4 linked regions of the Anolis sagrei genome follow. The protein of the gene in region 2 interacts with the protein of the main gene of each other region in a pairwise test. Links are inferred from orthologs where the notes say so. Each region holds a gene or a part of one and is shown on either strand. Other genes may lie near its edges.

Region 1 (7,288 bases), on a different chromosome or scaffold from region 2:
GTTAAGTTGCTATGGTTCTGTTGAAATCAATAAAACTAAAACAGCCTTTGTGTAGAATTTCAGCCTTTAGCAGAAAAAGACTCTAGAAATGTGAAGCTCTTGTCAGACAAAAAGGCCACTAGCACTTCCAAAATAATACTGATCCATCCTCACCTTCCGCTCGAACACAGGGGTGTCTATCGTCACAGCTCCATGGCGCTTGAAGCAGCTGATAATGGTGGCAAAGATATTTTCACGGATGGCCATCTGCTTTGGACTGAAATCCCTGGTGCCCTGAAAGTCCACACCGAAGAAAAGATGGGGGTTTAGAAGAGATGTTTCTTTAAAAAAAGAAACGCTTGATGAAAACTACACAGCTGAAATAGTAACAGCAGCCAACAGCTGAAGGGCTTCCAGATGCTTCAATTGTTTAATACTAAGCATTTGATTCTGTGCCAAAAAATCTTCTAACGAGAATCAAGTACTGCTAAAAATAATAGAAAATGATTGGAAGAGAGGGGAAAATTGAAAAAGCAGTAGATTAAGCTAATGGGGTAAAGGGGCTGAGTGCTCTATAAGATCATCTGGAAGGATGATGGTACGGCTTGTTCCGTTAAAGGAAGTACCAGAGTTAAGCAGTGCTCGAAGGGGACTCTGGAAGAGGAAGCAGAACACAGATGGGCTATTACCTTGGGGGTTTTGAGAATTATGTTTCCTCTTCCTCCAGCATCTCTCAGCTGTGGCGATGGTTGATTTACCACATCTTCAGTCACCTGAGAGCAAAGCAAATCTGATAAAAAGGATGCCATGGCACTTTAAAGACCAACACATGTATTATAACATGGACATGCGAGTTCTTTCTGACTTCAGTGTCTACTGTGCTATCCTCAAACATGTGTACTAAATCTACTCGAAATTCTGGGTAAGACAGTATGCCTTTGATAAAGTGGGCTATAATTCCTTAATGATTAGGCTGTAATATATCTGTTAGGCTTTGATGCAGCACAGGATCATTTGTTGTTTTTGTTGCAACAGACAAATGTAATACTACATTGGAAATATGAATAACTCTTTTTTATGTTCGTTTTACAGATTTCAATTAATATAAGACAGCTGACATATCAGTGCAAAATGGTAAGGACAGATTAAGATCTCAAGAAGTCCTAAATTCTTAACATTCTAAAGGTGGCAATGTTCCAGCCCATTCCCAACCCCGCAGAAGCTTGAATAGCAGGTTAATTTGGCTTTTATTTGTAAATTTCCAAAATGCTGCTAGGAAGAAACTTCTAAACTCAAAGCTACAAGAGTTGTAGAAGAATTGTGGTAAACGAGATGCACCTTGTTCGGTAGATGGCTGGAAAGTGTCCTTTGAACCCAAAACTGCGTTGGCATAAGCTGTCTCCTATACAGAGCCTTTGTGAAAAAGCTTATCCAATACATGTCGAGGAGTTTCAACAGCATCTGCCAGCAATGTTTCCTATACTGGGCATATCAAATCTTCAGAGCAGCACAGGAGAGGAAGCCTTTGCATTCTGATCAGTGAAAGATGCATCTGTGATGTATCCAGCATGAAGAACAGAGAGAAAAAGCAAGACATAAAATCCAACAATGAGAAAACTATTTTGCAAAGTCACACAGACTAATGGCGGAGATCCTCCCATACAGCTGAATAAAATCTCACATTTTCTGCTTTGAACTGGAATACATGGCAATGTGGTTCAGATAACCCAGTTCAAAGCAGATATTGTGAAATAATCTGCCTTGATATTTTGGGTTATATGGCTGTGTGAAAAAAAATGGTTTGTTGTGGAAACAAGGATTGGTTGGAAGGCTTCATTGGATACCCCTTTTCTCCATGGTAACTCTTCTAGGAGTGAATTTCCCTTCCTGGCGGTAGATTTCTTTCACTTCCTGTTGTCTCACCTCCCCCCTCCCCGTTCTTAACAATGAGTCGTTAACGATGAGTCGGCACAAACTTTAAGATCTTCCGAGGAGGCCCTCCTTTCGCTCCAAGCACGGTTGGTTGGGACGAGAGGGCCTTCTCGGTGGTGGCCCCCACCTGTGGAATGCCCTTCCTGGAGAAATAAGACAGGCTCAATCTCTCCCCTCCTTTTGTAAGAGCCTGAAGACTTGGTGGTTTAAACAAACCTTTGAGAATAACTAGTTCTAGCTATAACCCAGATACTGTTGAAATTGGCCATATCTTTTTCTTCCAATTACCCAGGTCACTTTCTTCTATTAGGCCCTGGAAATGTATGACCATAGACTCTACCTAATTTCCTGGGCCCTCTAAAATTGCACTGGCCCGGCCTTTTAAACTTCCTTGAACAGGCAGGATTATTTTAAATATATGTGCTATTGTGGTTTTTAATGCTTATATTGTCTTGTTAATGTTATGTTTATGCTGTTTTATTTGTATGGATTGATTATGTTACTTGGAAACCGCTCTGAGTCCCCTTGGGGAGATAGAATCATAGAGTTGGAAGAGGCCTCATGGCCCATCCAGTCCAACCCCCTGCCAAGAAGCAGGAATATTGCATTCAAAGCACCCCTGACAAATGACCATCCAGCCTCTGTTTAAAGGCTTCCAAAGAAGGAGCCTCCACCACACTCCAGGGCAGAGAGTTCCATTGCTGAACAGCTCTCAGAGTCAGGAAGTTCTTTCTCATGTTCAGATGGAATCTCCTTTCTTGTAGTTTGAAGCCATTGTTTCGCATCCTAGTTTCCAGGGAAGCAGAAAACAAGCTTGCTCCCTCCTCCCTGTGACTTCCTCTCACATATTTGTACATGGCTATCATATCTCCTCTCAGCCTTCTCTTCTTCAGGCTAAACATGCCCAGCTCCTTAAGCTGCTCCTCATAGGGCTTGTTCTCCAGACCCTTGATCATTTTAGTCGCCCTGGACATATTCCAGCTTGTCAATATCTCTCTTGAATTGTGGTGCCCAGAATTGGACACAATATTCCAGGTGTGGTCTAACCAAGGTGGAATAGAGGGGTAGCATTACTTCCTTAGATCTAGACACTATGCTCCTATTGATGCAGGCCAAAATCCCATTGGCCCTTTTTTTTGTCGTCACAGCACATTGTTGGCTCATGTTTAACTTGTTGTCAATGAGAACTCCAAGCTCTTTTTCACACATACTGCTCTCGAGCGAGGCATTGTCCCCCATTCTGTATGTTTGCCTTTCGTTTTTCCTGCCAAAGTGGAGTATCTTGCATTTGTCACTGTTGAACTTCATTTTGTTAGTTTTGGCCCATCTCTCTAATCTGTCAAGATCGTTTTGACTCCTGCTCCTGTCCTCTGGAGTATTGGCTATACCTCCCAATTTGGTGTCGTCTGCAAACTTGATGATCCTGCCTTCTAACCCTTCATCTAAGTCATTAATAAAGATGGTGAACAGGACCAGGCCCAGGACGGAAATCTGTGGCACTCCGCTCGTCACTTCTTTCCAGGATGAAGAGGAAGCATTAGTGCGCACCCTCTGGGTTCGTCTATTTAACCAATTACAGATCCACCTCACCGTAGTTTTGACAAGCCCACATTGGACTAGTTTGTTTGCCAGAAGGTCGTGGGGGACCTTGTCGAAGGCCTTACTGAAATCCAGGTACTGAAATCCACGGCATTCACTGCATCTACCCAGCTTGTAACTCTATCGAAGAAAGAGATCAGATTAGTCTGGCATGACTTGTTTTTGATAAATCCATGTTGACTATTAGCGATGACTGCATTTGTTTCAAAGTGTTTGCAAACCACTTCCTTAACATTTTTTTCCAGAATCTTGCCTGGTATCGACGTGAGGCTGACCGGGTGGTAATTCTTTGGGTCATCCTTTTTTCCCTTCTTGAAGATTGGGACCACATTGGTGCTGGAACTTCTCCCATTCTCCAAGAAGATAATCCATAATATCTGCTTTGAACTGGAATATATGGCAGTGTGGACTCAGATAACCCACTTCAAAGCAAATACTGTGGGATTTTCTGCCTTGATATTCTGGGCTGTGTAGAAGGGCACCTGCCACTAGGCCTCCAGGACCTTTTGCTGCACAGACAGACTTGGGAGTTGGAGCCAGAAGCAAGGCTGTGCTTTCACTTGAAAGAGAAACACGTGAAGGCTAAAAGCTTGAAGGGTTTCTGTCTGCCTCACCCTCGAGGCAAAGCTATAAGCTTCCTTTCTGAGGCACAAACACGCTCTAAGACACGTCCTTTCCTTACCTCTCCTGAGCGAAAAGGCTTCCCAGGAAGCATAGAGAAAGCTGCAGCTTGGGTGAGGACGCTCTGGCTAGAAAGGACCAACCGGAAGTACGCTTTACGGCAGGCCCCAGTTTGCGCGACGTTTTCCGGCTTCCGGGACGCTTCACAGGCAAGATGGCGTCCGGCAGTGGGGTAAGTGGTGGACTTGATTTAGAAGGCAAGGAAGGCCTTTTCTGCCCGGTTTTCTGTCCCGAGGAGCTGTAATGGCCCTCAGGGAGAGCAGGGCGGCGGGCCTTCCGGTGTGGCTCCGCTTTTAGGCCCCCAACGGGTGCGGGAAAGGGCTCCTGGCTTCTGGGACGCCGCCGAGAGAAAGGCCCGGCTCCTCAGCGGCTTTGTATTGCACTTCTTGACTTGAGATAAGCGCTTTAAAGCCCGCACTTGACACTCCTAACACATTCTAGGGAAGGCATCTTCCGACTACGGCCTTCCCGCTGTTTGAGTCTCAATTCCCAGATGCCCTAGCCATCTTGATCAGTAGCGAGGAATTCTGGGAGTTGGAGGCCCAGAAAATGGGAGGATGTGTGTTCTAAATACTGCCTTGAATCGCCGATAGGCTGAGAAAGGCGGTATACAAGTATAGTAAAAGAAATATCTATATAAATAACAATGTAATGTTCAGGTTCTTGTGGGTTTTTTCGGGCTATATGGCCATGTTCTAGAGGCATTTTCTCCTGACGTTTCTCCTGCATCTATGGCAAGCATCCTCAGAGGTAGTGAGATCTGTTGGAGTTAGGAAAATGGGTTTATATATCTGTGGAATGACTTGGGTGAGGCAAAGAGCTCTTCTCTGCTGGAGCTAGGTGTGAATGTTTCAACTGACCGCCTTCATTAGCATTTGAAGGCCTGGCTGAGCCTTGGGGAATCTTTTGTTGAGAGGTGTTAAGATGTGCCTGGTTGTTTTCTCTCTGCTGTTTTGCTGTTGTAATTTTAGAGTTTTTTTAATACTGGTAGCCAGATTTTGTTCATTTTCATGGTCTCCTCCTTTCTGTTGAAATTGTCCACATGCTTGTGGATTTCAATGGCTTCTCTGTGTAGTCTGACATGGTGGTTGTGAGAGTGGTCCAGCATTTCTGTGTTCTCAAATAATATGCTGTGTCCAGGCTGGTTTATCAGGTGCTCTGGTGTGGCTGACTTCTCTGGCTAAAGTAGTCTGCAGTGCCTTTCATGTTCCTTGATTTGTGTTTGGGCGCTGTGTTTGGTGGTCCCTATGTAGACTTGTCTACAGCTGCATGGTATACGGTAGACTCCTGCAGAGGTGAGAGGATCCCTCTTGTCTCACCTCACTACCTCTGAGGATGCTTGCCATAGATGCAGGCGAAACGTCAGGAGAAAATGCCTCTAGAACATGGCCATATAGCCCAAACCCCCCCCCCCCCACAAGAACCTAGTGATTCCATCCATGAAAGCCTTTGACAATACAATGTAATGTTTGTTTGTGGGATTAACAGAACTCAGAAACCATTGGACGAATTGACACCAACTTTGGACACAATACACCTAACAACCCAATGTATGTCCTTCACTCATAAAAACACTGAAAAACACAGCAGAAGGGACTTAAAAAGCCCCAAAAAGCTAAATGACGAAAAGCTAAAGACAATACAGAAAAAAGGGAAGAAAGAGGGAGGGAAGGGGAGAAAAAAGGGAAAGAAAGAAGGAAAGGGAGAAAGAAGCATGGAAGCAAAGAGAGAAGGAAGGAAGGAAAGAGGTAGAGAAGGAAGAAAGGAAAGAAAGAGGGAGGGAAAGAAAGGGGGGGAGGAAGGAAAGTTAGAGAAGGAAATAAAAAAGGGAAAGAAGGAAGGAAAGAGGGAGCAAAGGAAGCGGGGAAGATATAGAGAAAGAGGGAGTGAAGGAAAGAGAGAAGGAAGAAAAGAGAGACAGCAGAAGAGAAAGGAAAAGGGGGAAGGAAGAAAAGAGATAGAGAAGGAAGGAAGAAGAGAAGGAAAGACGGGAAGGAAGGAGGAAAGAGAGGGAAGGAAGGAAGGAAAGAGGGAGTGAAGGAAGGAGGGAAAGAAGGAGAGAAAGAGGGAAGGTTGGCCACAGCAAAGCGTGGTGGGTACAGCTAGTAGTAAATAAAGAAATAGCCTTGATACTCTTGTTCAAATCTGTAAAATATTTTTTTTAAATACAAGTCCTATAAAGCTGTATTTGCATCAGAATCTTCTGAAGTTGTGGACTGAGGTTCCTTCCACATTGAACTGGATTATATGGCAGTGTGGACTCAGATAATTCAGTTAAAAGCAGATATTGTGGATTATCTGCCTTGATATTCCGGGTTATATGGCTGTGTTGATGGGCCCTGAGGGAGAATGAGATGTTTTTAATAACATTGTATTTGATACAGCTCAAAACAGAAACCTGTATCCTCCTGAACTATTATTATCCAGGATTCGGAAATCTGAGATACACCGAAATTTGGAATCATTAGTGCAGGGACAATAATCTGGTTCTTAAAATCAATAAAACGAAGGAGCTCATAGTAGACTACAGAAAGAACAGACCAGAAATTTAGCCCTTCGTCATAAATGGGGACCAAATGGAATGGGTGGCCAGTTTTAAGTTCCTGGGTATCCCTGTTAAGGAGGATCTGAGCTAGGACACCCATACAGCAGCGCTGGTTAAGAGTGCCCAGGAGAGACTGTACTACCTGAGATGTCTAAGGAACCAACAACTGAATGAAAAACTGTGGATGACTTTCTACCACTGCCCTAACCTACTATATCTGCGCATGACTTGATAACTGCACAGTGACAGATAGGAAGGCACGCCAAAGGGTCACCACTACTGCATAGAGAATCATTGGTTGCCCTCTTTGGAAGAACTTCATAAGTTCTGCAGCGTCAAGAAAACTCAGAACATTTATGAATGCAAAGACAAGAATAGAGGTTGTTTTTTTTAGATATTTGTTTCGCAGAGTGGGACCAGAGGTTATGGGGGAATGGCATACCTGTATTATATGCATTTTATTCTCTTTTGCTATTTTCTTTTACATTCTGTATGCCATTAATACAATAATTGTGGGGCACGAAAACGGCATCATTGATGAAAAGACTGCAC
Region 2 (6,855 bases):
CTTCCAGATGTTGTTAGACTATAGTTTCCTAACCAGCATAATAATCAATGATAAAAATGCTGGTAATTGTAACCCAACAACATCTGGAGAGCCATGTGATTCTCACTCTTAATTTAGATTTAAGCAAACTGTTTCAAAGCAGCAACAAAAGCTGCTATTTATGGAAATGTGGGAATTTATTCTGCAAGGCATCTTGGAAAGGTTACTCCTTTGGGCTACAACTCCCTGAAAATCTGTCAATCTGCTTCACTGCTTAAAAACTTTAAATACTTATTCCTCACTAAAAACAACAACAACAACAACAAAAAACAATCTTCAGTACAGTCTTTACTCTTCATCTTGGGTGAACATTAAAAGCGGAGTCATTTGGCTTCTTTCATTTCTCTGAATTTTGACCTGATTAGGCAGTACTCCAGTGCACAACTGCCCTAGCAATAATGAGAAGGGTTGCTCCCAATTTAATCACTACATGACTGGACACACCACCAGCTACAGCAGAGCGCCCATTCTGCAAGCAAAACTATGTTCTGAATCCATATAGCCTTTTTGTATTTCTTGTATCAGATTAAACTCCTGCTGTGATAAGATGCCCAAGCAGATTTGACTCCTGTTTCACACGTTTTGACTCTTGCTTGACATTAGCAAGGACATTATCTTGTGAGTACAGAACTTGAATTTTTCCATTCAACTTACTATTTTTTTCCCTGGTAAAGCATTCCAAAAGGCTGAAATTGGAAGCATTTACACTTTGAAAGGTCCTTGTTTGAGTCTGAATAGCAAACACATGCTTTTGGTGAAGTTGTTTCCAATGCCTTCTTTTGTCAGCTGGGCAGTGAATCTGCTTGAACTGGGATTTGAAAGGAACTCTCCAAGGTGCTGAACCTATTTTGAGACTAAGGTTCAGAACCATGAATAGCTCCTTTAAGGTGGAGTAGGCGGTTCATTGCTACACTGTCATGTGAGCTAAGAGTTGCCAGCCATTCTTTATCCCAGAATAAATGTTCTCTCAGAATGCCATTGACAGAACTTGAAAGTAGCTACTTACAAGTAACTATTTGTAATGAATTGTCAAAGGCTTTAATGGCTGGAATAACTGGTTGTGGCAGGTTTTTTGGGCTGTGTGGCCATGTTCTAGAAGCATTATCTCCTGACGTTTCTCCTGCCTCTATGGCAGGCATCCTTAGAGCTTGAGAGGTCTGTTGGAAATCAATTTGTAATTTGTAATGAATTTCTTTCTATAACAGTTAAAGTTTCAAGTAACAATTCTAATTTGATGAGACATAGCTTCATTCCTTTTACAATAGATCTGAAACTTTTAGGGTTATTTTTTGTTATAGGGTATGATCTCTCTAAATGGTGGAGGAGGAATATTATATAGCTGGTTTGTGATCAGTTGTCCCCAGCTCTGCTGTTATGTGGAGATGATGGTAGATGGGAGGAGACTCTATTTTGTATCAGAGGCTAGCATCCTGTAGCACCCGTATTAACACACACACACTCTCTCTCACACACCAATGTACTTTTCAATTACTTTCTAAGAAACTGTAACTTTGAAAAAACTATAACAGTAAATAGTAGCGCTTGAGTATAGTTCTTTAAATTCCACATTATGAGAAATGTTCTGATCAATCGAGCCAGATCTAGCACACAATGCCTGCTCTACCTCCAACCAACCTACTCAGGTCTTGCAGACTGAAGTCTTGAAGACTCTTGAAGACTCTGAAGACTTAAGTGACTGAGAAGGAAAAGGAATTGTGGGAGTTGAAGTCCAAAACACCTGGTGGGCCCAAGTTTGACCATGTCTGAGATATATTGAGCATGGTGATCAGATCATGATATGAATAAACATGGAGCTGCTCCATTCACCCTGTGATATGGATATGGAGAGGGGGAGAATGGATAGGAGCACATATGAGATAAGGGCCATCTGGACTGGGGGGAAACAAAACTGTAAGATAACAATGATGGGAATGAAATGTAGCCAGTAGGAAGGGGAATGGGTTAGGGTAATGATATACAAAGAATTTGGTGGGGAATCTTCAGGACTGTCTTCCTATTGCCAATGGTAAGACAGAAATAAAGCTGTATCCAAGGATTTGCCTTTGTGGATGTGCTCTTATTCCAAGAGCTTTCAGGTTCTGACAGGTTGGAGGTAGAGAAGGCATGGGCCCTCCAGGTGTTTTGGAGTTCAACTCCCACAATTCCCTCAGCTGCTCTATCTCCAGCCAACCTACTCAAGTCTTGGAAACTCAAGTCTTGCACACTCTTGCCGACTTAAATGGCTGAGGGGAAAAAGGAAAGGGCACAAGGCTGTTAGGAATTGTGGGAGTTGAAGTCCAAAACACCTGGAGGGCTGGAGTTTTCCCATGCCGGTGATAGAGTGACTTGGAAGTCTCTTATTCATGGGGTTACCATAATTTGGATTGGTGGCAAACAACAACAACAACAATGCTATTATCTCCAACCAAGCTACCCAGGTCTTGCAGACTCAAGACTATGACTTCTTTGACTGATTCCATCTATGTGTAATGTAGCTTTCCTCTTTTACTACTGCCTTCTACCGTGTTGGTGAGTAGGAAAAGAGATTTAAATATGGGCTCAAAGCCAACCTTAAAAACTCTGGCATAGACACTAAGAACTGGGAAGCCCTGGCCCTTGAGTGTTCCAGCTGGAGGTCAGCTGTGACCAGCAGTGCTGTAAATTTTGAAGAGGCACAGATGGAGGGTAAAAGAGAGAAACATGCCAAGAGGAAAGCGCGTCAAGCCAACCCTGACCGAGACCACCTTCCACCTGGAAACCAATACTCTCACTGTGGGAGAAGATACAGATCAAGAATAGGGCTCCACAGTCACCTACGGACCCACCGCCAGTACACCGATCTTGGAAGACAGTCTTACTCGGACAACGAGGGATCACCTAAGTAAGTACCTTACCAAGTATTATTATAATTTTTTTATTGAGTTATGTCCTTTCATGATATGACCCAATCTCCATTTAGTCACCTTGGCATCTAATTTTCAGCCTTGATTTGCTGTAGAACCCATAGATTTGTCTTTTTTGAAGTCCACGTAGCTTTCCTCTTTTCCTACTGCTTTCTACCTTACCAAGTATTATTATAATTATTGTCGAAGGCTTTCATGGCTGGAATCACTAGGTTCTTGTAGGTTTTTTCGGGTTATAGGGCCATGTAGTGAGGTCTACCTCTGAGGATGCTTGCCATAGATGCAGGCAAAACGTCAGGAGAAATGCCTCTAGAACATGGCCCTATAACCCGAAAAACCTATTATTATAATTTTCTATTGAGTTATACCATCTCATGATATGCCCCAAACCCCACAGTCTCTGTTTAGTCACCTTGGCATCTAATTGATTTGCTGTAGGTCCCATTGATTTGCCTTTTTAAAAAAGACCACAGTCTCCCTAGGAGCATAATTCCCCATTTCCAAGGTGCACACACCCTTCTCTTTCACAACCCTGAAACACTCCCAAAAACTCCTACATTCGCTGCCATAGCAACTAACCCACACAGATATGGGCCATATTTGGACTCCCATCTGTCTTTGGGAAGGGAGGGGGTCCTCGCAAGTGGAAGCAGCCTTTCTCTGCTTGTTTGTGAGCCCTTCTGCCCTTTCCAGCCTCCATTGGGGGGTTGGAGGGGATGGCCCTAGTGGTCTCTCTCAACTCTATGAGTCTGTGGGCTGATTGGGCGACGGATGGGCCTCGGATCCACACATCCTCCATGAGGAAAGCCCAGGCGAGAGGCGACAGGGATGGTTCAATAGTCCTGGATGGCCGGGAATAACCTCCCAGTCCGAGGGGACGGGAGCGCACAGCAGTCCGGGGAGAGGCTTTCCCTTTGCTGCCGGCGGAGGGCGCTCTTGCTCCCCCATTTGGACGCCGCAGTGGGGAGAAACAACCCACGGAAGGAGCCCAGCGCTTTGTGTGAGTGTGGGATTGCGCGCGTATATAATATGAGCTCTTCCCCAACATCCCTCTCCGCCGGAGCTGCTGCCACGCGTCTGGGCGGGATGTAATCTCGAGTGGGAGGGAAGGAAGGAGCCACGTCTCGGAGGGGAAACCGAGGGGGAGGTGGGCGGGGAAGGGTGTGTGCGTGCGTGTCTTCGGGTCCCTTTGTCCTGCCGAGGGGAGGACAGCTCCGTCGCAGAGCCAGCAGGTAAGTCGCTGCTCTTCTGGAGCATCCTTCCTCCGACTTGGGTCTTGGGTACCAAAGCTGGAGCAGGTCCTTCTGGCAAGGTGGGAAGCAACTGCGCGTGGGACTTGGAGCGGGGGCCACTTCAGGGGTCTTTCCTTCTGCCCATTGGGAGGGTAAGGGTTTGGGGAAAGTGCTGCCTTCATGCCGGGGAGCCCCTCCCAGCCCCTCCGACTCTTTCAAGGGAGATTGGATTCCTCCTGCGCAAGTTTTGGAAACCCTGCCCTTGAGTGTTTTCCTCCTTCGCCTTCAGCCACTTGCTATCCCAGAGGGGAAGCTTAAGACTCTAAATTAGCCGAATAGACACCGAAAGGCAGGCACAGAAGCAAAACAACCCCACGCCTGTCTCGCCCCCTCCCTTCCCCTCCGCACATTGTCCCTTGCCATCACTCACCTATTCTTCCCCAGTTTTCTCTCTCTCTTCTGAACGGGACAAGAAGGCGGTGGCCCTTTGCACACCAGCCTGTTATCTCTTCTTAGCATCCATCCTCGTTGTCATCCCCCCTCTCCATGTCTTTGTAGAGCTCTCTGTGTATTGAGTCTTTTTATAGCAGAGGAACCAAACTGAGGAGCAGGATTGGATTTATTTTTTTGTAATGTCAGGGGTGACTTGAGAAACTGCAAGTCGCTTCTGGTGTGAGAGAATTGGCTGTGTGCAAGGACGTTGCCCGGGGGACACCCGGATGTTTTGATGTTTTACCATCCTTGTGGGAGGTTTCTCTCATGTTCCCACATGGGGAGCTCAAGCTGAAAGAGAGCTCAAGCTGAAAGAGAGCTCATCCGCACTCTCCCCAGATTCGAACCTCTGACCTGTCGGTCTTTAATCTTGCCACTGCACCCCCAGGAGCTCCTAATGGGTTTGGTCATCAGAAAGCTCTTTCCAGTTGTCCTTTTGGACTGCACAAGAGAGAGTTGTGCATCTGGGTGATGATGGGGAGAGGGAAGGAGGTTGATGAACTCTTATATACCTTCCTTTCTGGCTGCAACAGGCACTAACTTCAAATGTTTACCTGCAATATATGTGTATGTTGTTGACTTTACCCATGCTGGTTGTTTACAGATGTCACATGCTACGCTGGTCAATTGGCTGGCTTGTGTTCTATATGTTTTTCAAATCACGCATTTTCCAATGTTGGAAATGAAGATCAGAGAGTGGTGGTGGCTTGAAAAGGCTTTGCACAAGTGACTTTTCCGTGCTTTTCTCCAGAGATAATCTCCCAAAGGATGTATTGCATGGATCAGTGTTGTCGAGCTTGGAGGTGGGAGGAAGGTGGAATAGAGACTGGGATCAAGTGGTAGATTTACAGATGATTGGTACTGAGATTCCAATGCACAGTGATTTCATAATCGCAGCATGAAAAGACTTCCAGATTTGCCTGCCGAGATGGAAGAAAGCTTGGGCAGGGATCCAGGAGTGGGTTTGCATATGACATGCTTGTGTGAGCTCAGTGCTGGTACTGAAAACAAATGTCAGGGTAGTACATGTGCCCGGAGGCACTCCACCCTCTTCGTTCTAATGCTTGCTATACAATTCTGTTGTCTCCCCCAGTTACCCACAAACTCCAGAGCCATTGTTTTGCACCAGGATCCACTTGGTAGCCATGTCTAGGGCACAATTCTGGTAGATCAACAACAAAAACAAAGTAGACTCTGTAGCCCTGAAGTCTGAGCATCCCATCTCAAATTTCATCATAGTGATATAGTGCTAGCTCTACACAAGCTGCTGTTTTACAGTTCCAGTGCCCATTCTCACCTGACAGATGGGAATAATATTATGTCTTGATCTATCTTCAGTGTTGTTGCATTATTATTGAAGTCATGTCTATAAAACACTACATACTTCCTTTTCTCCTCTCTGTTATTGTTGCTGCTGTTATTTGAAAATGCCAATTAACTGCCTGCAAGTATTTTTCCTATCATAACAACATACATTGGAGCAGCTGCTTCATACTCCAACTCAGGAAAAATAGTTTTGCTGTCCTTCCCATATCTTTTAATTTATTTTATTTATTATTTATCATATTTATACCGCGCCCTTCTCTCCCCAAAGTGGACTCAGAGCGGCTTTACACATAGGCAACAATTTGATGCCATCAAAACGACATATAGTTAAAATAAACAATTACATTAAAACCAAGAAATCAAACATCTAAACATTATACCAACTGTGAAAACCACGCAATCCACAATTGTAGTCCAGAGCCATTCCAGTAGTCATTGCACATATTTTGTATCCATTTATTGCACTACAGTTGTTATCTGAAGGCTTGGTCCCAAAGCCATATTTTTGCTTTCTTTCTGAAGGCCAGGAGGGAGGGGGCTGATTTAATATCACTGAGGAGGGAGTTCCACAGCCAGGGGTCACCACTGAGAAGGCCCTGTCTCTCGTCCCCACCAAGAGCACCTGCAAAGAAGGTGGCAAAGAAACCAGGGCCTCTCTGGTCAATCTTAACCTCTGTGATGGTTCATAGAGGGAAATACATTTAGACAAGTAAGCTGGACCAGAACTATTTAGGGCTTTATAGGCTAAAGCCAGCACTTTGAATTGTGCTCAGTAGCAGACTGGCATCCAGTGCAGCTTTAACCCCCCCCCCCCCCCCCACAAACAAGCAAGCAGACCTCACAACCTCTGAGGATGCCTGCCA
Region 3 (7,409 bases), about 190 Mb from region 2:
AAGGACAGAAGCACTTGAATGAACTCAAATAAATATGAATTTGAATTCCCTTTATATGTGGATTTTTAAAATGTATATTGCATTTGATGTAAAGATAAAGGTTTCCCCTTGACATTAAGTCTAGTAGTGTTCAACTCGGGGGGGGGGGGTACTCTAAGCCGAAGAGCCGGCTTTGTCAGTAGACCCTTCAACGTCATGTAGCCAGCATGTTTGGAGGCTCTAGCAGGGGAGCGCATATATTGTATACCCGGGACCAAAGACTGGAGACCTCGGTACACTCCTTCTATACCTGGGACATCATCCTCTTCCACCGAGTGCATAGCTTCAGGAGGGATGCACATGGAGCAGTGAGGGAGGAAGGGGACACCCGCCTAGCCAGCCAGATCAGTCGAATCAACCCTGACAATCAGTGGGGTGACAGATGTTGCAGCCAGATTGCCCTTACATCCGGGATGACTGCATGGAGCATCATTACCTTCACATCTGAGAGGTACCTATTGATCTACCCACATCTGAATGTTTTTGAACTGGTAGGTTGACAGAGGCTAACAACAGGAGCTCATCTTGTCCTGTGGATTCAAACCACTGACCTTCCAGTCAGCAAGTTCTGCAGCTTTGCGGTTTAACCCGCTGCACTACTGTGGCCCCTTGCATTTGATAGGCAACGTGAATTCCATGTTTATGAATGGCCACTTTTTGAACGTAACCATTGGTACTTTGGCCCTTTAATTCCCTCTCCAACCTCACTGTCAATCATTCCACCGCCAATGAAGTATACCTGAAATTCTGGATAAAACTCCATGCATGTAATGACTTGTAGGTAATGGCATAATACATCTGTTAGCTCTTTAGCAATCACTCAGCTCAAAGACCATAGAAAGATTTCACATCCAAAATGCTTTGTTATATAAATTTTTTTAAAAAAACTTTTAATAATAAATGAGAATCCTATATTTTATGCCCAATCTACTAGTATCCAAAGTCTGGGGGAAATGATATCTTTGTGCTTACATATTAACTTGTCCTCAACCCATGACCAACTTTTCTCCTGCCATTACAACATTACTGATTACAACAAAAATTAATCAAGATTCTTTTGGTTTACGGGGATTTTTCAGATGATGATTTACTACTTCTTCAGTGGTGAGGAATATTCTTCCAGAAGTAATCCAAGCTATAATCTGCTTTGCTTATATGTGGTTTCAAGATGGGTCATGGCTACTTTTCCCTGCTGGGTGAAACAGTGACTTCATGGGCCCATCTACACTGTCAAATTAATGCAGTTTGACACCCCTTTATCTGCCATGGCAGAGTCCCCGGTGGTGCAGTGGGTTAAACACTTGTGCTGGCAGGACTGAAAACTGACAGGTTGCAGGTTCGAATCCGGGGAGAGCGCGGATGAGCTCCCTCTATCAGCTTCAGCTCCTCATGCGGGGACATGAGAGAAGCCTCCCAGAAGGATGATAAAACATCAAAACATCCAGGCATCCCCTGAGCAACATCCTTGCAGATGGCCAATTCTCTCACACCAGAAGCGAATTGCAGTTTCTCAAGTCACTCCTGACACGACAAAAAAATAAAAATAAATCTGCCATGGCTCAATGCTATGGAATTTGAATAGCTGTCCATTTAATGAGGCACCAGCACTCTTTGGTAGAGAAAACGAAAGGTCTTGTAAAACTAAATTGAGCCACGGTAGGTAAAGTGGTGTCAAACCGCATTAATTCTCTCGTGTAGTGGCATCCAACAATAGGGCTTCATTAAGTAGAATTAATGCATTTTGACCACTTTCACTGCTGTGGCTCAATGCTACTAAAAGATTACATCTGTAGTTTGGTGAGGCACCAGCACTCTAAAGACCTGGTGAAACCAGAACTCCCAGGATTCAATAACACTGAGTTATGGCAGTTAAAGTAGTACCAAACTGCATTGATTCAGATAGGTTCTCCCTGGGTCAATTATGCAAGAGGTTTGGACTGTGTTCCAGAGCAAGGACTTACTTTGGAGCAAGGACTTACTTTGGAGAAACCATGCATGGCTGCATGGTTTCTCCAAAGTAGCAAGATATACAATCACAGCATTCACAATCCATATGCACTGTTTGCTAGAATCCTGCTTTTGTTGTGCTACAGACAGACATCTACATCAGGCTTGGGCAAACCTTGGACCTCCAGGTGTTTTGGACTTCAGCTCCCACAATTCCTACCAGCTGGTAGGAATTGTGGGAGTTGAAGTCCAAAACACTTGGAGGGACAAAGTTTGCTAAAGGCTGATCTACGCTGTAGAATGCAGTTAGGCACCACTTTAATTACCACAACTCAATGCTTTGGAATCATGGATGTTGTAATTTCACCAGACCTTGCGCCTTCTTTGGCCAAAAGTGTGCTGATACATCACCAAACTACATATCCCATGGTAACAGCATTGAGACATGGCAATTAAAAGTACTGCCAGATGGCATTAAGTCTACAGTATAGATGCACCCTACTATCACGCTGATCTAGGGGTTGATTTACACTGTGATTTACAAGTCACTTTACCTGCCATGGCTGTGGAATCCTGGGAATTGTAGTTTCGTGCAGCAGCACTACCCTTTGGCAGAGAAAGCTACAGAGCTTGTCAAACTGCCATGGTTTGATAGTATGGAATCATAAGAGTTGAAGTTTTGCAAGGTTTTTCGCCTTCTCTGCCAGAATGCAAGTGCTTTACCAAGCTACAATTCCCAGAATCCCATAGCATGGGTCTTTCTCTGGCGACCCTTACCTGAGCGTGTTGAGGGGCGGGTTGCAGACCCTGATCACGCGCACGCCTCGCAGGACCTGAGCCATCGTCGCGCGACCAGCCTCGGACGCCCCAGGAGAACGCTAGACTTGATTGACGGGCAGCGAGAAGGCGAGGGAGGAGGCGGGGCCTCTTGGAAGCGGAAGACCCGGATGGGCAGGCGCGCAAATGGGTGGAGGAGGCTTTCTGCTGGAGCCCAGACTCTCGGTTGAATTTTAACCAGGATGAAGGCACCCACCCTGCAGACAGAGCCTTGGAGTGGCTGGAATCACGTAAAAGGAGATACACCCGAAATCAGTGGTTCTCAACCTTCCTAATGCCACGACCCCTTAATTCAGTTCCTCATGTTGTGGTGACCCCCAACCATAACATTATTTTCGTTGCTACTTCACAACTGTCATTGTGCTACTGTTATGAATCGTCATGTAAATATCTGATATGCAGGATGTATTTTCATTCACTGGACCAAATTTGGCACAAATATCCGATTCGCCAAAATTTGAATACTGGTGGGGTTGGAGTGGGGATTGATTTTGTCATTTGGAAGTTGGCGTTGCTGGGATTTATAGTTCACTTACAATCAACCTACAATTCTGAACTCCACCAACGATGGAATTGAACCAAACTTAGCACACAGAACCCCCATGACCAACAGAAAATACTTGATGGGCATTGACCTTGAGTTTTGGAGTTGTAGTTCACCTATATCCAGAGAGCACTGTGGGTTCAAACAATGATAGATCTGGACCGAATTTCGCATTAATACTCAATATGCCCAAATGTGAACACTAGTGGAATTTGGGGGAAATAGACTTGATATTTGGGAGTTGTAGTTGCTGGGATTTATAGTTCACTTACAATCAAAGAGCATTCTGAACCCCCCAACAATCGAATAGGGCCAAACTTCCCATATAGAACCCCCATGCCTTGAAGGGACTCACTGGCATGAGCCTTCCTCCAGCCTCACATGCTCTCCATGCCTGTACATGTGCACCACACTGCCATGTGTGGAGCATGCCTGCTCTCCGCTCTTTGCTTGGAGTCTTAGAAACAGCCCTTCCCTTGGCTGAGAGGCCAGCCAATCATAGAAGACGAGAGCTTTTGGTGGGAGGATTCTCTGTCTGTTTCCAAAAAAGAAGAGAAGATCAGGTGGAGAGATCCTCAGCCTTCTCTGCCAAAGGGGTTCTATAAATCCACAAAGGGGGATTTATAGTTCACTTACAATCAAAGAGCATTCTGAACCCCACCAACAATAGAATTGGGCCAAACTTCCCACACAGAACCCCCAGGACCAACAGAAAATACTGTGTATTCTGATGGTCTTTGGTGACCCCACTGACACTCCCTCATGACCCCCCAGGGGTTCCGACCCTCAGATTGAGAAACACTGCCCTAAATCCTATTATTTTCTACACAGAGCCAGCTCTCACTGTTATTAGGAGGCATCTGCCCTGTAGAATTAATGCAGTTTGACAGCACTTTGACTGTCATGGCGCTCTTTTAGTGAAAGAGGCGAAGGACCTTATAAAAATGCATAGCACTGCACGATTGCAGTTATTAAACTGCAAGAGGAACTGTGTTCTTATCATACATCAAGAGAACCACTGATTGAATAGGGAAGCTGTTGAAAAAACACAACCAACAAACCATCTACAGACCCACTAAGAAAATCCAACAAATGCTACATTCAGCAAAGGACAAGAGATATCCTCTCACCTCTGCAGGAGTCTACAGTATACCATGCAGTTCTGGACAAATCTATATAGGGACCACCAAAAGCAATGCCAAATACGCATCAATAATAATATAACAGAACTTTATTTATATATCGCCCTATCTCCCTTAGGGGACTCAGAGCGGTTTCCACATATGCAAAATAATACAAAAACGTGCAATATGAAACAAAAACATAGGCATAAACTGTTAACACAGCGTATACATTAAAATCAATTTAAAAATCACTCTCTTCTTCATGCAAGGTAAGCTGCCAGGAGAACAGATTTCAATAAGGGGCCTGGACTATTTGGAACGGGCTGGGTCAAGGCTAGTGCAAGGAGAAGAGAAAAATGGGGCCAGCTAAATGCTACAGTACAAGGATCAGTCTCAGCAATGGCCCTACTAGGGAACTGGGGCCACTCAATTCCAGGGCCAATTAAAGGTCTATAATAAAAGGTATTGGCTGGAAGAAAAGGTGCCCTCAAATGACAGGGAACTGGGGAATGGATGTGGTACAAGGCCAAGTCCTAACTGTTGGACCAAGGGCTTGAGACTTGTCATTATTGAAGGCCTGATGAAACCACCAAGTCTTCAAGTTCTTACGGGATGGGGCCAGCCTTATCTCCTTGGGGAGGGCAATCCAGAGGTAGGGGGCCACCACCGAGAAGGCCCCTTCCCTCGTCCCCACCAACCGGATCAAGGAACATGAAACGCACTGCAGACTACTTCAACCAGAGAAGTCAGCCATAGCAGAGCGTTTGATGAACCAACCTGGACATCCTATGAGAACACAGAAATGCTGGACCATTGTAATAACTACCATATGAGACTACACAGAGAAGCTATTGAAATCCACAAGCATGTGGACAATTTCAACAGAAAGGAGGAAACCATGAAAATGAACAAAATCTGGCTACTAGTATTAAAAAAAACTCTAAAATTATAACAGTAAATAAATAACAAAACTCAAACACAGGAGAACTCCAGACAAGAAACAATCAGGAACACCTAATCACCTCTCAACAAAGGATTTTCTCAAAAAAAAAAAAAAGGATTTTCTCAGGCAGTAACAAGCCACACCTAAAAACTGCCAGGCCATTAAATGTTAATCATGGTGGCCAATGGAAACATTCCACCTACCTCCAACAGACAAGAGTTCTTTCTCCCACCCTGAACATTCCACAGATATATAAACCCTATTTTTCTAGTTTCCAACAGACCTCACAATCTCCGAGGATGCCTGCCACAGGTGCAGGCAAAATGTCAGGAGAGAATGCTTCTGGAACATGGCCATACAGCCTGGAAAACACATGACAATCCTGCATTAATTCTACTGTGTAGATGCATCCTCAGGAAAAAAGAAACTGCACAATCACTTCTCTATTCCATGCATCTTCACTATAGAATGAATGCAGTTTGGCATTGCTTTAACAGTCAGTTTCAATGCTATGGGGTCATGGGACTTCTAGTTTTACAATGTCTTTAGTTTGTTTTTGTTTTTTTGCCAAATGGTGCTGGTGCCTCACTAAACTACAACTCCCAGGACTGTATAACACGAAGCCATGGCAATTCAAGTGGTATCAAGCTGCATTAATTCTTCAATGTAGATGCACCCTAAGAAAACTTTATGACATTCATGAAGTTCACCATAAAGCAGCATGTGATTGCACATACACATATTGGCATTTAAAATGGTCTCTGATGCACACACTCCCAAAAAGAAAATAGCACAAATGTTGTACAAAAGTGGCACACACTGATTTAAATGCAGACATAACAATTTAAACAGAACCAAAGCAGAATTTTTAATGGAAAGACCATGATTCATGTTCCTGCCACATCAGCTCCTACTTGCTGAGGAGTTCTTTTTTATAAATGATTTCAAATTATTTTTTATTTTCCTCAATCTGATAGTTCAACTGCTTGTTCTTTCTGGGTGATGTTACTAACACTATGTAACAAAATTTGAAAAAAAAATATGTTCCTGGTTTGAAACTGTTATTTCCTGCTTAATTGTGTTTTACTTACTTCGAAAGTAGTTGTTATACTCCAGAAACTTCATTTTTGTGGCTGTCATTTTTAACCTTTCAATGTGCCATTTTTAACCTTTTGTGCAGACCGCAAAAACAAAGCTTTTCCAGTTTAATAAACTTTACCCATGTTTTTATGATAGCACCAATGAGGAAAATGACATTTATAACCCAGGAACAAAAATCATGTTACATAGTGTAATCAATTACATACAATATTGAGACGGTTTTAAACAGGATTTTAACATTGAGTTAAGTGATTCTAATGTTTATGTATATGTATATTTATGTCCCGGCATTGAATGTTTGCCATTTATATGTTGTTCTCCGCCCTGAATTCCCTTTGGAGTGAGAAGGGCAGAATAGAAATGTTTTAAATAAATAAATAAATAAATATCTGGTTTTTTAAATAGAAGAAAATGGGTGTGTCTGTGTGTAATTTTACTCAGCTCTGTGCTTAGCATTAGCCAGCTGTTCAGCTATGAAGTAAACAAGGACATCAGATTATAGATAAAGCACACTGTGTTTTCAAGGGACAGTGTGTGTGTTGGTTCAGGCTAGGACTGACAAAAGATGTGACTGACCTCAATTTATATGAGTGCAAGCTACAAATCCCACCATGGCACTATCTTTTCATAGTGGTAGGATTGTGTGCTTCTCTGAGGCTATGCTGACAGTAGCAGTGCTGCCGATAGGGTCTTTCGTGTTAGACAGCCTTTTGCTGCAGAGCCAGACAAAATGTGCCAAACAGCTGCTGGGCAACAGTAGGTGGATTTCTGTGACACTGGTGGACAATCTCTCAAAGACAACAGTAGTAGCATCAGATCTAATGCTTGTTTGTACAGCACTGAGGGAGGCATGGTAAATCCCTTTCAAATGTCT
Region 4 (7,683 bases), on a different chromosome or scaffold from region 2:
CTGTGGGTCCCCAGGTGTTTTGGCCTACAACTCCCAGAAATCCCAGCCAGTTTACCAGCTATTGGGATTTCTGGGAGTTGAAGGCCAAAACATCTGGGGACCCACAGGTTGAGAGCCACATGTTCTAGTCAATTATATTCCAACTGGCTTCAAGTCTCTAAGTTTGCAGGTAAACAATTAATCTGTTTTTTCTCCCAATCAATATTAGTCAATTAGCTGTAGAGGATGCTTTTTCTGTCAATTTATAATTTGACATCATTAGTCCATTAAAAACCAACGTAATCCCATTCCTTCAGTGGAATTCTGTTTCATAATTGCATATAATACAAACAGTGGGAGTGAGGCAAAATAATAAAAGAAGTAACAGGTAAGCTGGACCCAAACCATTTAGGGCAGTAGTTCTCAACCTGTGGGTCCCCAAGTGTTTTGGCCTACAACTCTCAGAGACCTCAGCCAATTTACCGGCTGTTGGGATTTCTGGGAGTTGAAGGCCAAAACATCTGGGGACACACAGGTTGAGAACCACTACACAAGAGGGAACTAGGGGAAATTTCTCAGCTTTTGTACCAACTTTCCACATATCGCTTAATCCCAGGAACAAAATCAAACAAAACAAAAACCCTAAAAGGGCTCCTCTACCACTAATTTTTCAACCATAAACCAAGATTTGGTCCTTTTGGGCTCACCTCAGTGGTGGGTTCTTATTCATGAACATTTCAATGGCTTTTTCATCCTCAGGATTCACAGTCATCTCCTCACAATACTCTCCCTTCTCCATGGCTGCAGCTTTCTCCAGTGATGGCCATTCCTCGTCATCTGTATCTGAACCTCCATCCTTTGAGTTGGAGCCTAGAAGAGGCAGGTGAAAATTAGCTCTACATGTTTAGCAAAACAAGCAATTGCCTTATTGCCCCTGATCTGAAGAATTCCTGGGGACGATGGCAGCTGTACCAACCTGGAGAATACCAGAGTGGGATCCTAAAGTATAGAATAGGTTCTTATTGTAATCAATGGGATAGTGGTCAAAAGGGTTTTTTTCCAGCTGCAAAGAAGAACTAGTTATGGACATGCATTGAAAATGCATTGTTATCCTTAGCTTCACTTACTTTGACTTTGACCACGCATGGGTAAACTTGGGCCCTTCAGGTGTTTTGGACTTCAACTCTCACAATTCCTAACAGCCTCAGGCCCCTTCCTTTTCCCCCTCGGCTGCTTAAGACACATGACCTTGGAGGCGTACGGTCTTCGGCTTAGAAATGGTGATGAGCATCATCTCCCAGAGTTGGGTACGACTAGACAATGTCAGGGGAAACCTTTACCTGTATAGTATTAGATCTAATTTTAATAGCAACTCCCATGCTACCAGAAACTACAGAAATTGCCATTTATCTATCCCATGACTTAACAGAGAGTCTACTGCAGGGGTCCTCAAACTTTTTAAACAGAGGGCCAGGTCAGAGTCCCTCAAACTATTAGAGGGCCGGATTATAATTTGAAAAAAAAAAAACACGAATGAATTCCTATACACTTAAAAACAATACAATAATTATAATGAAGAACAATTTTAGCAAATATAAACTTATTACTATTTCAATGGTAAGTGTGTGCCTGCTTTTAGCTGATGAGATAGGATTGTTGTTGTTGTTGTTGTGTGCTTTCAAGTCATTTCAGACTTAGGTAGACCCTGAGCAAGGGCCGGGTAAATTACCTTGGAGGGCCGCATCCGGCCCCCGGGCCTTAGTTTGAGGATCCCTGGTCTACTGTATATGGTTGAAACATCTTATGGCAATGCTATGAAAATACAGTTAATATCACCCTTAGTTCATTTACTTGGACAAAATATAGTAGACTCTGAGTTAACCACAACTCAAGCAGCCAGAACTCTCGGGTAACCGGGGGGGGGGGGGGGGATCAAAGAAATAATGTTGTTGAAGGCTTTCATGGCCAAAATCACCGGGGCCCCTTCCACATAGCTGAATAAAATCCCACATTATCTGGGATATATGGCAGCGTGGACTCAGATAAACCAGTTCAAAATAGATATTGTGGGATTTTCTTCCTTGATATTCTGGGTTATATGGCTGTGTGGAAGGGCCCTGGGTTGCTGTGAGTTTCGGGCTGTAATGGCCATGTTCCAGAAGCATTCTCTCCTCACATTTCGCCCACATCTATGGCAGGCATCCTGAGAGATTGTGACATTTGTTGGGAACTAGGCAAGTGGAGTTTACAGGCTTTGAAGCTGCAAGCCCATTCAATGTTAATCAAGGTGACCGATTACAACATTCACACTTGCCTCCATCAGACAAGAGTTATTTCTCCCACTCTGGACATTCCACAGATATATAAACCTCACTTGTCTAGCTTCTGGAACATGGCCAGACAGCCCGGAAAACTCACAACAATCCAGTTAAACAAAACTTTTGCTGTGTTTTGTAACATAACCAATTGGGAAATGACGTTTACAACCCAGAAACAAACATTGTGTTACACAGTGTGATAGAAAGGCAGAGTTAGGCCTATTTTTATTACTTGGCTGTACTGAAGGAGTTGGGGATGATGGCAGTTGTAGTCCATCGCATCTGGAGGATGGCGGGGTGTTTGGTTTGTTTAATCCCAGGATGGGCTTAATAATGTGATGTCACGTGCTTTTTGCCCACTCACCCAGGACGGTGGTCTTCCTCTTGGGCTCCTCTCTGCCGGAAAGGCCATGCTCGGCCTGCAGCTCCTCCTGCTGGATCCGCGCCTGCTCCAGGATCTTCCGGGAGAGCCGCTCGTCCACGTACTTCTCCTCCTCCTCCTCCTCCTCTTCTCCTCCCGCTCCCCCGCCATGCAGGCCGGCTTTGCCCCTCCGCTTCACCCGCCGACTGGGCTTCACCGCCTCGCCCTGCAGGATCTGCTCGGCCAGAGGCACGCTCACCCCGGCCGCCGAGGAGGCCCCTCGCACCCGCTTCTCTTTCGGCATGATCGCCCAGACACGTGGGGGAGAGGAAAGGCTAAGACGCATGCGCCGGAAAGAGAAGGCCAGAAAAGGGGCGGGGCTTGCGACCGCAGGGGCGGAATAGATATAGAGCAGAGCTTTCCCAACTTTTCACGCTTTTGAGACCAATCAGGCGTGGGCAAACTTGGGCCTTCCGGGTGTTTTGGACTTCAACTCACACAATTCCTAGCAGCCGGTAGGGCTCAAGTTTGCCCACATCTCTAATATTTTGCATATACATTTGGAAAATTGTATATGCAAAATATCAGACAGATGGAAAGCTATTTAACCTCAGCAGACTGAAAGCCAAAACCAAGGTGACAACATCTATTACAGAAGTCCAATATGCTGATGATAACATCGTCTGTGCACATTCAGAATTTCTACATGCCACTCTAAACACCTTCGCAGAAGTATATGAAAAGCTTGGCCTGTCATTGAACATCGAGAAAGCCAAAGTGCTCTTCCAGCAGTCACCAGCCAATCCCTCTCCAATGCCAGAAATATAGCTTAATGGTGTAACATTAGAAAATGTTGATAATTTCCACTACCTTGGCAGCCACCTCCCCACAAAAGTCCACATTGACACTTAAATACAACACCGCCTGAGCTCTGTGAGTGCATTTTTACGAATGAAGCACAGAGTGTTTGAGGACTGGGACATCTTGAAAGCATGGCTATTTCAGTGTGCCTTCCCTGAATAAAGGAAACAATGCCCTAATTTGATCAATTTTCTGCAATATGTCCTCTGAAGCACTACCCGTTGGATTTATTTCCCTACATTACTCTCTAACCGCCCCACCCCCCGTTTAGATACCCTACTTCTGTTCACACCCAGTATTTTAAAAATTTAATCTACTACATCCGGCCTTTCCCACAGTCTTTTAAATCTCTTGTGTGTTACTGCTTATATGTTATTTATGATATTGTACTGTGTTTTATTTGCTTGCTTGCCTTGTTTTCTACTGATGTATTTTGTTGGGCTTGGCCTCATGTAAGCCGCCCGAGTCACCTTGGGGAGATGGTGGCAGGGTATAAATAAAGTTATTATTATTATTATTATTATTATTATAAACTAGCTGTCCCCTGCCACGTGTTGCTGTAGCCCAGTCTGTGCATATGTGTTTTGTGTGTGTGTATATATGTGTTTATGTATGTGTATATATTTGTGTATATAAGTGTGTGTATATATGTGTATTTATATGTGTGCATGCATATTGTGTATATGTGTGTGCTTGTCTATATGCATATTTGTGTGTGTGTGTGTGTGTGTATATATATATATATATTATTTATTTTATTAATCAATTTTATATACTTCCACTCGCCGAAGTCTCGGAGCGGTTTACAATATACACAAGAAAAACTTTGATCAACAAAATTCAAATGCCACCCTAAATAAATAAGTTTTACAAGCTCTACGAAAAGCAAGTAAATCTCGGAGAGCTCCTGTTCCTGCTGGCAAAGCATTCCATAGATAAGGAGCCACCACCGTGAAAGTTCTACGCCTAGTAGACATCAGGTGAATGGTCCTAAAATTGGGAACTTCAAGGAGATTCTGATCGTCTGAACGAAATATTATGTGGATATGTATATGTGTGTGCATGTGTATATGTATATCTGTGTGTATCTGTGTGTATGTGTATGTATGTTTGTGTATATGTGTATATCTGTGTGTGTTTGTGCATATATATATGTGTGTGTGTATGAATGTGTGCATGTGTATATGTATATGAGTGTATGTGTATCTGGACACATTGACAAGCTGGAATGTGTCCAGAGGAGGGCGACTGGAGAACAAGCCCTATGAGGAGCGGCTTAATGAGCTGGGCATGTTTAGCCTGAAGAAGAGAAGGCTGAGAGGAGACATGATAGCCATGTATAAGTATGTGAGAGGAAGTCATAGGGAGGAGGGAGCAAGCTTGTTTTCTGCTTCCATGGAGACTAGGACGCAGAACAATGGCTTCAAACTACAAGAAAGGCGATTCCATCTGAACATGAGGAAGAACTTCCTGACTGTGAGAGCCATTCAGCAGTGGAACTCTCTGCCCCGGAGTGTGGTGGAGGCTCCTTCTTTGGAAGCTTTTAAACAGAGGCTGGATGGCCATCTGTCAGGGGTGATTTGAATGCAATATTCCTGCTTCTTGGCAGGGGGTTAGACTGGATGGCCCATGAGGTCTCTTCCAACTCTATGATTCTGTGTATATGTAAATATGGTATTTTTGGGGGGGTTTTAAGTCTGTTCGGCTGGGGTTTTGTGTGTGTTTGTGTGTGTGTTTACAGGTGATGGTCACACGTTGGACTGTTAGGTGTATTGTGTCTAAATTTGGTGTCAATTCGTCCAGTGGTTTTTGAGTTATGTTAATCCCACAAACGAACATTACATTTTTATTTATATAGATGAAATACAATTTTAAACCTAAATATACGTATATATAAAGTAGATCTTAGGAAGTTGTTTCTTGATTTAAAACGTCAATATGCTGGCTGATATCCGAACAGAGGATGGGCCGGAGGTGTCAATACTTTCCTCCCTACAGGAAAGCCTGGCTCCACTTTCTTTTGCTGGATGGGCAATGCAGGACCACCTGAGTTGGAGGTGGGCCTGCATTGCCTGCTCCGGCCGCCAGGGGGCCGCTTCCGAGAGGAGGCGGCGAGGACGACACTCGCCCGCATTCCCCGCGATGACGTCACTTCCTTTCGGCGTTCTTCCCTCCGAGGAGGCGAGGCTGTGTGAGGCTCCGCGAAGACCGCCGGGCAGAGGGCGCTGAGTGAGGCTGAGAAGTCTTGGGCCACCTTTCCGCCCGGGTTCACGCCTCCCCCGCGGAGGAGACAGCCGAGGAAACATGGGTGTCACCTGGTACGGCTTCCCAAGGCTGCTGTAGCCTTAGCCAAACATTTTACCTTGAGACCGTTGCATGTTTTTGCTTCTCAGTGTCGGCCAAGATGGAGGCCTGCTGCGATTGTGCTTGGATGTACATTCGTTTCAAGAATGAGGGGTCGGGTATGGAGTGTAACGTGTGAACGAGCGAATGACGAGTGTCAGGGGCAGGAGAGGGACCTGGTGACAGGTAGGGTTACTACAGGCATGGGCAAACTTCGCCCCTCCAGGTGTTTTGGACTACAACGCTCACAATTCCTAACAGCCGGTAGGCTGTTAGGAATTGTGGGTGTTGTAGTCCAAAACACCTGGAGGGCCGAAGTTTACCCATGCCTGAGTTACTAAATCTCCTCAATGTAATGCCAGGGGAGTATCTGCCCCTCATCCGAATTGCTTGGCGCCAGACAAGTTTGCGATTTCAGGTATTTTTGTGTGTGGGATTTTTTTTTTTTTGCATCGCCTAATTGCTAAGCCTAATCAAACCAGTCATTTATGTTTCACGTACACATAACATGTATATGAAACATAAATGTTGTGTTTAGGCTTGGCTCCCATCTTCAAGGTGTTAGTAAATAAGATATTGACACCACCTGCATGTAACACAGGTATGGAGAAACCCACGCCCGGGAGCCGAATGCGGCCTCTTGGACTCTTTTTGCAGGCCCTCCTCTCGCTCACCATCCTATCCTTCCTTCCTTCCCTCTTTCCTTCTGCCTTTCCCCCTTCCCTCCTACCCTTCCAGTCTTCTGTCTTTCTTCCCTCTTTCTCTCCCTCTTTCTCCTTCCTTCCTTCCCTTTTGTCACAGGGAGGAGGGAGCAAGCTTGTTTTCTGCTTCCCTGGAGACTAGGACGCGGAACAATGGCTTCAAACTACAAGAGAGGAGATTCCATCTGAACATTAGGAAGAACTTCCTGACTGTGAGAGCCGTTCAGCAGTGGAACTCTCTGCTCCGGAGTGTGGTGGAAGCTCCTTCTTTGGAAGCTTTTAAACAGAGGCTGGATGGCCATCTGTCAGGGGTGATTTGAATGCAATATTCCTGCTTCTTGGCAGGGGGTTTGACTGGATGGCCCATGAGGTCTCTTCCAACTATGATTCTATGATTCCTTCCCTCTTTCCTCCCTCCCCGCATTCCCTCCACCCTTCCTTCCATCCATCCTTCTCTTCTTCCCTTTTTACCTTCCTTCCTTTTCTTTTTCCTTCCTTCTTTCCTCCTGGGGCATGTTTACCTGGGGGAAGAGAAGGTAGAGAAGGAACATGAGAACCAATTTTCAAGATCTAAAAGGGTGTCCCATTGAAGAGGAGGGGGAAAACCAACTTTCTGCTGCTCTAGAGACCAGAACACAAGGAAGCAATGGGTTCAAATGGCAGGGGAAAAGATTAGGAAGAATTCCTGAAAGTAAGAGCTGTTGGAGAGTGGCCTAGGCTGCCTGGGAGTGTGGTAGAGTCTCCTCTGGAGACTTTTCCGCAGAGGCTGTCTGTCGGGAATGCTTTAATTGTGCCTTCTTGCTTGGCAGGGGGTTGGACTGGATGGCCCTTGAGGGTCCTTTCCAGCTCTAGGATTCTATATCAGGAGTATGCAGTATGGGGTCTAATAGATACACTTTTTCCTCTCGTATCCACCTCATCCTGACCAAGGCTAACCTTTTGGGATCCAAATGTTTCCCATCTTTCCTTTGCTTTCTGCCTCCGAAAGAGAAGAGGAAGGGGAGGAAAGGGCAGGGAGGGGACTTGGAGAGAATCCCCCTGCTCCTGGCCTGCCCACCCTGCTCCAGCCTGCCATGAGGCCCCCAAGTTAGAAAGTTTGCCCATGCCTGATGTAACATAT

The links.
Region 1: the proteins of MTUS2 (region 2) and ZMAT2 interact in binary tests that used the Homo sapiens proteins (3 or more experiments, as listed by UniProt). The two-hybrid records come from large-scale screens. The link is inferred for Anolis sagrei from reciprocal best matches to the Homo sapiens genes MTUS2 and ZMAT2.
Region 3: the proteins of MTUS2 (region 2) and EHHADH interact in binary tests that used the Homo sapiens proteins (3 or more experiments, as listed by UniProt). The link is inferred for Anolis sagrei from reciprocal best matches to the Homo sapiens genes MTUS2 and EHHADH.
Region 4: the proteins of MTUS2 (region 2) and bystin interact in binary tests that used the Homo sapiens proteins (3 or more experiments, as listed by UniProt). The two-hybrid records come from large-scale screens. The link is inferred for Anolis sagrei from reciprocal best matches to the Homo sapiens genes MTUS2 and BYSL.

What each region holds. Positions count from the first base shown.
Region 1 is NC_090024.1:136,398,333-136,405,620, reverse strand, and holds the start of ZMAT2 (zinc finger matrin-type protein 2), read left to right. Parts: upstream 1-4,276; 5' UTR 4,277-4,345; coding exon 4,346-4,363; intron 4,364-7,288. Other genes in the region: histidine--tRNA ligase, cytoplasmic-like, read right to left, coding at 154-273, 669-752, 1,318-1,440. UniProt on the Homo sapiens protein: Involved in pre-mRNA splicing as a component of the spliceosome.
Region 2 is NC_090023.1:31,862,112-31,868,966, forward strand, and holds the start of MTUS2 (microtubule-associated tumor suppressor candidate 2), read left to right. Parts: upstream 1-3,844; 5' UTR 3,845-3,942; intron 3,943-3,952; exon of another isoform or gene 3,953-4,174; intron 4,175-6,855. UniProt on the Homo sapiens protein: Binds microtubules. Together with MAPRE1 may target the microtubule depolymerase KIF2C to the plus-end of microtubules. May regulate the dynamics of microtubules at their growing distal tip.
Region 3 is NC_090023.1:222,668,702-222,676,110, forward strand, and holds the start of EHHADH (peroxisomal bifunctional enzyme), read right to left. Parts: upstream 3,013-7,409; 5' UTR 2,829-3,012; coding exon 2,764-2,828; intron 1-2,763. UniProt on the Homo sapiens protein: Peroxisomal trifunctional enzyme possessing 2-enoyl-CoA hydratase, 3-hydroxyacyl-CoA dehydrogenase, and delta 3, delta 2-enoyl-CoA isomerase activities. Catalyzes two of the four reactions of the long chain fatty acids peroxisomal beta-oxidation pathway.
Region 4 is NC_090024.1:191,064,446-191,072,128, reverse strand, and holds the start of bystin, read right to left. Parts: upstream 3,013-7,683; 5' UTR 3,005-3,012; coding exon 2,662-3,004; intron 850-2,661; coding exon 687-849; intron 1-686. Other genes in the region: MED20 (mediator of RNA polymerase II transcription subunit 20), read left to right, coding at 5,824-5,837. UniProt on the Homo sapiens protein: Required for processing of 20S pre-rRNA precursor and biogenesis of 40S ribosomal subunits. May be required for trophinin-dependent regulation of cell adhesion during implantation of human embryos.